Arabidopsis thaliana: one gene and its partner. The protein of the gene in region 2 interacts with the protein of the main gene of each other region in a pairwise test. Each region holds a gene or a part of one and is shown on either strand. Other genes may lie near its edges.

Region 1 (5,039 bases), on a different chromosome or scaffold from region 2:
TATTTATAAAAGTGGGATGGAGAGTAGAGAGGATTCATTCATATCAAAAGAGAAGAAATCAACTATGAAAAAAGAAAAACAAGCGATTGCATCACAAAGAAATAGAAGAAGAGTAATTAAAAATAGAGGAAACGGGAAGCGATTGATTGCATCATTATCACAACGAAAGAGAAGAAGAATACCTAGAGGAAGAGGAAACGAGAAGGCAGTGTTTGCACCATCATCACTACCAAACGATGTTGTAGAGGAAATCTTCTTACGACTTCCGGTGAAAGCAATAATCCAACTAAAGTCTCTCTCAAAACAATGGAGATCGACGATCGAGTCTCGCAGTTTTGAAGAGAGACACTTGAAGATCGTCGAGCGATCACGCGTGGATTTTCCACAGGTCATGGTCATGTCTGAAGAATATTCCTTGAAAGGAAGTAAAGGTAATCAGCCTCGTCCAGATACAGACATTGGTTTTAGTACAATCTGTTTGGAATCGGCTTCTATTCTGTCCTCCACTCTTATCACTTTCCCTCAAGGATTTCAACACCGGATCTATGCTTCTGAAAGCTGTGACGGACTTTTCTGCATCCATTCCCTAAAAACACAAGCCATATATGTAGTTAACCCGGCCACTCGGTGGTTTCGACAACTTCCTCCGGCTAGGTTTCAGATTTTGATGCAAAAGTTATACCCCACTCAAGACACTTGGATTGACATAAAACCAGTAGTCTGTTATACAGCATTCGTGAAGGCCAATGATTACAAATTAGTGTGGTTGTATAATTCTGATGCCTCGAATCCAAACCTGGGAGTTACAAAGTGCGAGGTTTTTGATTTTAGGGCAAACGCTTGGAGGTACTTGACTTGCACTCCAAGCTATCGGATATTCCCTGACCAAGTACCAGCAGCTACAAACGGGTCTATTTATTGGTTCACGGAACCATATAATGGCGAAATAAAAGTGGTAGCTCTCGATATTCACACTGAAACGTTTCGTGTGCTACCTAAGATTAATCCGGCCATTGCTAGTTCAGATCCTGACCATATCGACATGTGCACTTTGGATAATGGTTTGTGCATGTCGAAAAGAGAATCGGATACGTTGGTCCAAGAGATATGGAGGTTAAAATCATCAGAAGACTCATGGGAGAAGGTTTATACCATAGATTTGCTTTCTTGTTCTTCTTCTTCTTTATCTGAGTTCCGCGATGGATTTAATTGGACACGAAAAGATTTGGTTGAGCCATCCACACCAGTGGCGATATGCAAGGACAAGAAGATTCTGCTCTCACATCGCTATGCCCGCAATATGATCAAATACGATCCCCAAATAAAATCTATCAGTTTAATTTACCAACCTCCTTTGTGTAGAAGATATGCTTCTTATTTTCAGAGTTTGATCTCTCATATATAAAATGCTTTGATGTATTTGGAAGCATGTAATGTAAGAAACAAAGCATTAATTGTTTGGATTGTTATATTATCCGATAGCATGCTGTTATTCATAAATCATAATAAACCATACTTATTTCGCCAAATGACACTATACTTACCAAAAATCATACTACTTTATGAAATGATACAGATTTTTCAAAAAAATGAGGACGAGTATTTTCGTTAATCCACACAAAAATCAGTTTCATTCTGTGTGTGGATGTAAAAGGAAGATGAAATATAGATTTTATCTTAAAGGGACCATTGCCTCGTTGTTAAAAAAAAGGGACCATTGCATCCGACATCTTTTATCCGTATTAATCTTGAAATGTTTATTCAATATACTTTGTTGCAAGATTTTTTTTTATTCAATATACTTTTGTTATTCATGTCAAAAAAAATTTGATTAATAGCCAATCTATGTAACAATCTAAACACAAGTTTGCCGCTACAATTAATATGAGTCTATGACACACATCACAAAGTTTTGAGAGATTAAAATTCTTTAGTCCCAAATACTTCAAATATAGAAAAAAACTACAATTTTTCTTTTCAAAATTTGTTTATTTTACGGTGACAATTTTTATGATTGCCAACCAAATCCCACATTATTAAGTTTTTCAACCAAACTGAACTGTATACTTATTTTGATTATTAACGGTCGGATTTAGCTTTAACTAAATCATCTTCCTAAGCTCTATCACTGAAATAATTCTGCAGACAAAAAAAAATGAGAGAGAGGTGGCAAAGATGAAGTGGAGGTGAGAGACGGAAAGCAAAAACAATAGTCACGAGAATCAACACCAACTCTTAAACCAAGATAGACCAAGAAACCAAACAGAGTAAATAAATGGTGGCCTTGACAACATTGAAATCCCCAAAAATCTCAACTTTTTAGGGTTTTCGAGCTCTGAAATCTCTCTATCTTTCTTCTTCAGATTTCTCACTTTTTTCTTCTTCATAAGATCCTCGTGATTCCACTTTATAACGTACGCCTCCTTTCAAGAAAAATCTCTCTCTATATTATCTACGTTTCTCTCGCCTTGTCTCCTTTTGAGGTTCCATTTCTACTTCTCTCCAAAATTCGAAACTTTTCCCACTCTCTCTCTCTCTCTACTAGTTTGACATGAACAGCGACGGTGTTTGGCTTGACGGCTCCGGTGAATCTCCGGAAGTTAATAACGGTGAAGCTGCGTCTTGGGTCAGAAACCCAGATGAAGACTGGTTCAATAACCCACCACCACCACAACACACTAATCAAAACGACTTCAGATTCAATGGTGGCTTTCCTTTAAACCCCTCAGAGAATCTGCTTCTTCTTCTTCAGCAATCGATTGATTCTTCTTCTTCTTCTTCTCCGTTATTACATCCTTTCACACTCGACGCTGCTTCACAGCAACAACAACAACAACAACAACAACAGGAACAGTCTTTCTTAGCTACGAAAGCTTGTATAGTTTCTCTTCTCAACGTCCCAACCATCAATAACAACACTTTCGATGACTTCGGCTTTGACTCTGGTTTCTTAGGACAACAATTCCATGGAAATCATCAATCTCCGAACTCGATGAATTTCACTGGCTTAAACCACTCAGTACCGGATTTTCTTCCAGCTCCGGAAAACAGCTCAGGATCATGTGGATTGAGTCCTCTGTTCTCAAACAGAGCAAAGGTTTTAAAACCGTTACAGGTAATGGCTTCATCTGGCTCGCAGCCAACTCTGTTTCAGAAACGAGCTGCAATGCGTCAGAGCTCGAGTAGCAAAATGTGCAATTCTGAGAGTTCTTCTGAAATGAGGAAATCGAGCTACGAGAGAGAGATTGACGATACTAGTACCGGAATCATCGATATCTCTGGATTGAATTACGAATCTGATGACCATAATACTAATAACAACAAAGGTAAGAAGAAAGGAATGCCTGCAAAGAATCTTATGGCTGAGAGAAGAAGAAGGAAGAAGCTTAATGATAGGCTTTACATGCTTAGATCAGTTGTTCCCAAGATCAGCAAAGTAACCAAAAAGATTCTTCCTTTTTTCTCTTTGTTCTCCTTAATAACTTCTTGTGTCACTAATTTTGGGTTGCAAATGTAGATGGATAGAGCATCAATACTTGGAGATGCTATTGATTACCTCAAAGAGCTTTTACAAAGAATCAACGATCTTCACACCGAACTTGAATCTACTCCACCGAGTTCTTCAAGCTTGCATCCGTTAACACCGACTCCACAAACGCTGTCTTACCGTGTTAAGGAAGAGTTGTGTCCATCTTCCTCCTTGCCAAGTCCTAAAGGCCAACAACCAAGAGTAAGAATAAGCTCAATTGCTTTCTAGTGGACAAAGCTGTATTCTTTAATTTTCTTAGTAACGCTTCTTTGTTTTGATATAGGTTGAGGTTAGATTAAGAGAAGGAAAGGCAGTGAACATACACATGTTCTGTGGACGTAGACCAGGTCTTTTACTTTCCACCATGAGAGCTTTGGATAACTTAGGATTGGATGTTCAACAAGCGGTGATTAGCTGTTTCAATGGTTTTGCTTTGGATGTTTTCCGCGCTGAGGTAATATAGTTGTTAAGATGCTATGCTGATCACTGATTAGTAAAACTAGCAGTCAAAGAATAGTTATTTGAGAGAATGATTAGTATACAAGTAACAACATGTTTTGTGTTTCTAATCAGCAATGTCAAGAAGACCATGACGTGTTACCTGAACAAATCAAAGCAGTGCTTTTAGATACAGCAGGTTACGCTGGTTTGGTTTGATTGCGAAGCAGAAGGAAGCATCTGTGTGGAACAGAGCTAGATCTAAGTCCTTGTTCTGTTTTAGTCAGCAATTTTCTTACTTAGTTTCATCAATTTCAATCATGTATGGAAGATGATAACTGTTTTATTTTAGCTATGAGAACATGTGTTTGGGGAACAATAGTTGCAACCTTTGAGCAAAATGCCATTGTTTCTCAATAATTCTACTTTGCTTTTCATTTATATGTTGTTTGCAAGAAGAGAGCAATGTTGATTTTCATTGATAAAACACACATGAGTCTGTCATGAGAAAAGGCTAAACAAAATATTAAGAAATGCACAATTCATAGGCAAACGCTCTGATATATCAATTTTTCAGAACAGAGATGAATCTCTATGTAAAATTCATATTCTTTATAAATGTCTGAGCTTGGTTCAGTTTAGTAAGATTTGGTTTGTGCCGTGGGCGACTGAAGATGTTAAAGACAAAAACATAATGGAACCAGATAAACTTGGCTAATTGGTAAGAATTAAAAGAAAATCTATGGTATAAATCTTCTCCCATGTGTCTTCTGATGATTTCTTCAGCCTCCAAATATTTTGGATCAGCTTATCTCCTTCTCTTTTCGACATGCACAAAGCATTATCCAGAGTGTATATATGGCTAGGATCTAAACTAGCAATAGCGGGAACTATCTTTGGCAGCAACCGGAATTTTTCTGTAATGATATCGAAAACTATTACTTTGATTTCAGCATTATATAGCTCTGTGAACCAATAAAGCGTCCCGTTTACAGATGCTGGCTTTTGGGCATGGTATATTCGATAACTTGGCGTGCAATTCAAGTACCTCCAAGCGTTTACCCTAAAATCA
Region 2 (4,430 bases):
TTAATTATTTTTTTTACTATTCAAAAAAAACCATCCATAACCAATCATATTATGACATATGTTTATAGTCGGTTCTCAAGAGAGCCGATTCTTATCCCACTCTCCTAATTTTTAATACTTTTGTTATAACCAATAAGTTTAGCGCGTCTTCTCCATCCGGAAGGCAAAGATTCCGAATCAGGAACACATAGAAACAGAGAGAAAGAAGTAGTATACCTATCACGTCTCTTGGGATAAGCGACTAGACGCCTGCAAGCAAAAACCATATGTGTCACTTGCAGCGACCAACCATAAAGCACTTGCAAACAAGTTATGTTCTTTACCACTTGCAACGACCGGCCTTGAATGTATCAGAGTAAACTCTAGTGGTATCCAAAGAGTTGAAATTCTTAATCACCCAAGCGAACTTCTTATCAGCTTGATGATTCCCCATTGCTCTTGATGATAATGGATACTAACTAAATACACAAATTTTTAACTCAAACTTCTAAATTCAAGAGATTGCTATGAACTGTGTTATCTAACTCTTCTAAAATCATGTCAAGATTACACTATGGAACAAAATTGTACTAAATTGTTTTTTGTTTTCCTTTTTTTATTAACTATATAGTTTACTACCAATATACATTAAAAAAAAATGGCTTCACATGAAAATGCAGTTGAGAGTCAAATGAGGCAAGGTTTTTTTCTTGTACATTTACGTTTAAAGAGTTAAGTATATGGAGATGACATGAGAATAGAGAGAGCGACTTGAGTATTAGAAATTGAAGTAGCTTGTGAGAACTGAAAAGCTATCTGCTTCCAAAAACAGGTGAAACTCTTCTTCTTCCAGCTTCCTCCATTTCCTCTCCTGACAAAAGAGACGCCTCCGGCTCAAAACCCGCATTTTCTAATTGCTTCTGAAGCTGTTTTGGTACAAGAACAACGAATATTAGACCAATCTAATATGAATCAGTCCTCACTAGACTCAGACAGTTTCTCATTTACCGGTAAGCAAGATGGACCAAAAGCCATAATAAAACACTTTTTCTGTTCATGCTAATGGAAAATATTATCATGGTAGTTAAAAAGTGTAAAAACAGTTTTTTTTTTGTTTTTGTTTACCTTTTGAAGGATAGCAGATTGATCATCCAGAGAGAATTTACGCATATACTTAAGCATCTCTAGTTGCTGCAGTAAGCACATTCGAATAGTTAGACATTGACCTTGGAGAGATAGTTTTCTTATAGTAACCAAAGCTAACATTACCTGTTCTTGTAATTGTTGTAGTGCTTTCATTTTCTGTTCAAATCCATCTTGTCCAAGCTCAGCTTCTTCACATGCCATCTCCTCCCTATTAAACTGTGAAATCAGCCCCTCATATATATGAATCGAATTTCTGATAACACCGTGAAGAGAAGAGCTTACTTTGCGAGAAACTTGTAGAAACCAATCATCAACTCTTTATCGTTTTCGTATGCAGAGTTCAGCTTTCCCAAGCAGCCAATACCAAATCCCGGGTCTGCTTTTATCGAATATACCTCATAGTAAGAAACATGTAATGGTGTGGTGTGGTGTGTATAACTCAAAAGCAACCAATAAAAGGTTAAAGAGAACTTTACCAATCCCCATCTCCAAGAATATCTCCTCTTGAATAGCAGTTGTTACCGCTACAGCTTCCTGCATTCAATCACAATGTAGTACATGTAACTAAACACAATCCCATTTTATCTCCAACTGGAACTAGTCTCTTCAAATTTATCAATCTTTTCTAAAGTGTTGTACTTTTGTGTTCACAAAATTAAGAAACAATAAGTACTCCATTATACAATCTCATCCAACTTGAAAACGACATTACTCTACCAACAACAACACTCTTAATTAACTACAAAGCAAGCATTAATCACTAATAAACGCATAATCGAAACAATTATACAAAATTCTCAGTTTCTAACCTGTTTGTCATCCACAGCGTCGGAGATTCGTTTCTTCACATCTGAGAAACCAAACATTTGCAATGAATCAATCAATAAAAATGAATTCAAAAACCTTAACAAAGAACACACAATTACCAGATTGTGAAGTCAAGTAATCGAATCGATCAAAGAGATAAACCATTTGCTCTTTCGTCAACATCCCCGAGCTTTGCAGCGACGACGCCATTGCCCCAAAAAAAAAACTCTTTGGAGCCACAAAGTGGGAAATTGGGAATGCCACAAATAATATGAAAATGACGGAAGTGCCCTTAACCTTAATTTCTTCTGTCCAATTTTATTCCTTGTCGCTTTTCATATTAATTTTTAATATCCTTTGTCTTGGTCGCTTTTTGAAACTTTATCATTGGATTCATTAATCGAATAAGCCCTAATTCATGGAGATTAAGCTGAAGAAAGAGAGGATAAAAGCAACTAATTATTCATTAATTCAAAAACCAAGGATAATACACGGTAATAATACAAGAGTAGAATCGTAATTATAGCATCAAAACAAACGCTCTTTAAAAATCTTCGTCGAGAGAGAAGACATGGTTATCAAACGCGCCGTTACCATTAACGCTAGACATAACGGAAGCCTTTTGGTAATCACCAACACGTTTCTCGAAGAAATTCGTTTTCCCTTGAAGTGAAATAAGTTCCATCCAATCGAACGGATTAGTAACACCGTACACCTTCCCGTACCCAAGCGCACCCAAAAGCCTATCCGCAACAAACTCAATATACTGACTCATCAAATCACGGTTCATCCCAACCAACGCGCACGGAAGCGCGTCGCACACAAACTCTCTCTCGATTTCGACCGCGTCGCAGACGATTGATTTCACGCGTTCTTCGCTAAGCTTTGTTTTGAGTAGCGTGTAGAGTAGACAAGCGAAATCACAGTGTAAACCTTCGTCACGTGAGATCAATTCGTTTGAGAATGTTAATCCAGGCATGAGTCCTCGTTTCTTCAGCCAGAAGATTGAACAAAAGCTTCCGGAGAAGAAGATACCTTCAACACAAAGGACATAATCGTCAATTCAAGTAACAATAAGGAAGACCCACAAAAAATAAAGGGTAAAATAGTAAATATAAGGTACCTTCGACGCAAGCGAAAGCGATGATTCGTTCGGCGAAAGTCTGAGAACCGTCGATCCATTTCATAGCCCATTGAGCTTTCTTGGCGACGCAAGGGATTGTTTCAATGGCACGAAAGAGATGATCTCTCTCTTTGTTATCTTTGATATAAGTATCGAGAAGGAGACTATACATCTCCGAGTGGATGTTTTCAATCGCGATCTGGAAACCGTAGAAAGCACGCGCCTCAGAGACTTGAACATCGGACATGAAGCGAGAAGCGAGATTCTCTAGTACGATTCCGTCAGATGCAGCGAAGAAAGCGAGGACGTGTTTGATGAAGTGACGTTCACCGTCGTTGAGACTGTTTTCCCAGTCGCGGTTGTCTTGTGATAGATCTACTTCTTCGGCGGTCCAGAATGATGCTTCGGCTTTTTTGTACATTTCCCAGATCTGTGGGTAGTGAATTGGGAACATACAGAATCTGTCTGGGGTTGGTGTTAGGAGCGGCTCTTCTGGCATTGAAGGCATCTTTGAAGGGATTTGAAGATTTGATTGAAGAAGAGATTTGATTGAAGAGATTGTTTGATTGATGAATTATAAGATCTAGGGCTGAATATTTATATAGGAGATTATAGGGTTTTGGGGTTTTTGAATTTTTGACGTGAAGAGGGAAAATAGAGGAGGGAAATATTAAAAATGTTTGAAATTTGTTTGGTTTCGAGAAGCTTGTTCGGGAATTTTTATCCAAAGAAAAAAGCTTGTTGAGGAAGATGAAGGGTATTATCGTCAATACCCACTGAGATTTAGCCTTGGAAGCGAGGGAAGTGATAAAGTTTGGCGGCAACATGCGATAAATTTGCCGGGTAAGTATAAGGGTATAAACGACATTTTGTTAAAACTCGAAACTCTTGGTGGGGACGCGTACGTATGTGGTTCTCGTGTGTTTTCATGTGAGGTACACGCACCTACGTTTGATGTGTTGCGATGTTACACGCGCCAAAATGTGTTTTAGAGAGTTAAAGCCCATTAATAAGCCCAATGGATTTATCGGACCAGAATATAATCATATAAGTATTGTAATTGGACTTGGGGGCACAAGAATCAAGTTTGATGTTTAAATTAAACCGAAACGAACCAAGTTTTATAAGAACCTGACCGATAGAATTCTAATACCGAATTAACCAAATTGTACTCTCAAATTTGATGCGATCGAACCGAATAAACTTGATATACTGAAATTCATATTTTTGACTGAAAATATACAAAAGAAGAAACATTTACTATGGGTTATAAACTTATAATGTATCACATTATAGCCTTTTCCTCTTACAGTAATTTAGTTACATATTTCTATTTATTTCAACTTATGCATAAGAATCCTTGTAAAAACATTTA

The links.
Region 1: the proteins of AT3G27050 (region 2) and SCRM2 interact in a two-hybrid assay, tested with the Arabidopsis thaliana proteins (one large-scale study listed by BioGRID).

What each region holds. Positions count from the first base shown.
Region 1 is NC_003070.9:4,382,207-4,387,245, forward strand, and holds SCRM2 (basic helix-loop-helix (bHLH) DNA-binding superfamily protein), read left to right. Parts: upstream 1-2,097; 5' UTR 2,098-2,551; coding exon 2,552-3,436; coding exon of another isoform or gene 3,437-3,517; coding exon 3,518-3,730; intron 3,731-3,812; coding exon 3,813-3,983; coding exon of another isoform or gene 3,984-3,992; exon of another isoform or gene 3,993-4,102; coding exon 4,103-4,186; 3' UTR 4,187-4,445; downstream 4,446-5,039. Other genes in the region: AT1G12855 (F-box family protein), read left to right, coding at 17-1,405; AT1G12870 (F-box and associated interaction domains-containing protein), read right to left, coding at 4,923-5,030. UniProt on the Arabidopsis thaliana protein: Mediates stomatal differentiation in the epidermis probably by controlling successive roles of SPCH, MUTE, and FAMA. Functions as a dimer with SPCH during stomatal initiation.
Region 2 is NC_003074.8:9,977,495-9,981,924, forward strand, and holds AT3G27050 (plant/protein), read right to left. Parts: upstream 2,350-4,430; 5' UTR 2,143-2,349; coding exon 2,052-2,142; intron 1,976-2,051; coding exon 1,935-1,975; intron 1,660-1,934; coding exon 1,602-1,659; intron 1,502-1,601; coding exon 1,408-1,501; intron 1,334-1,407; coding exon 1,249-1,333; intron 1,171-1,248; coding exon 1,105-1,170; intron 906-1,104; coding exon 792-905; 3' UTR 601-791; downstream 1-600. Other genes in the region: TSO2 (Ferritin/ribonucleotide reductase-like family protein), read right to left, coding at 2,477-2,967, 3,056-3,563.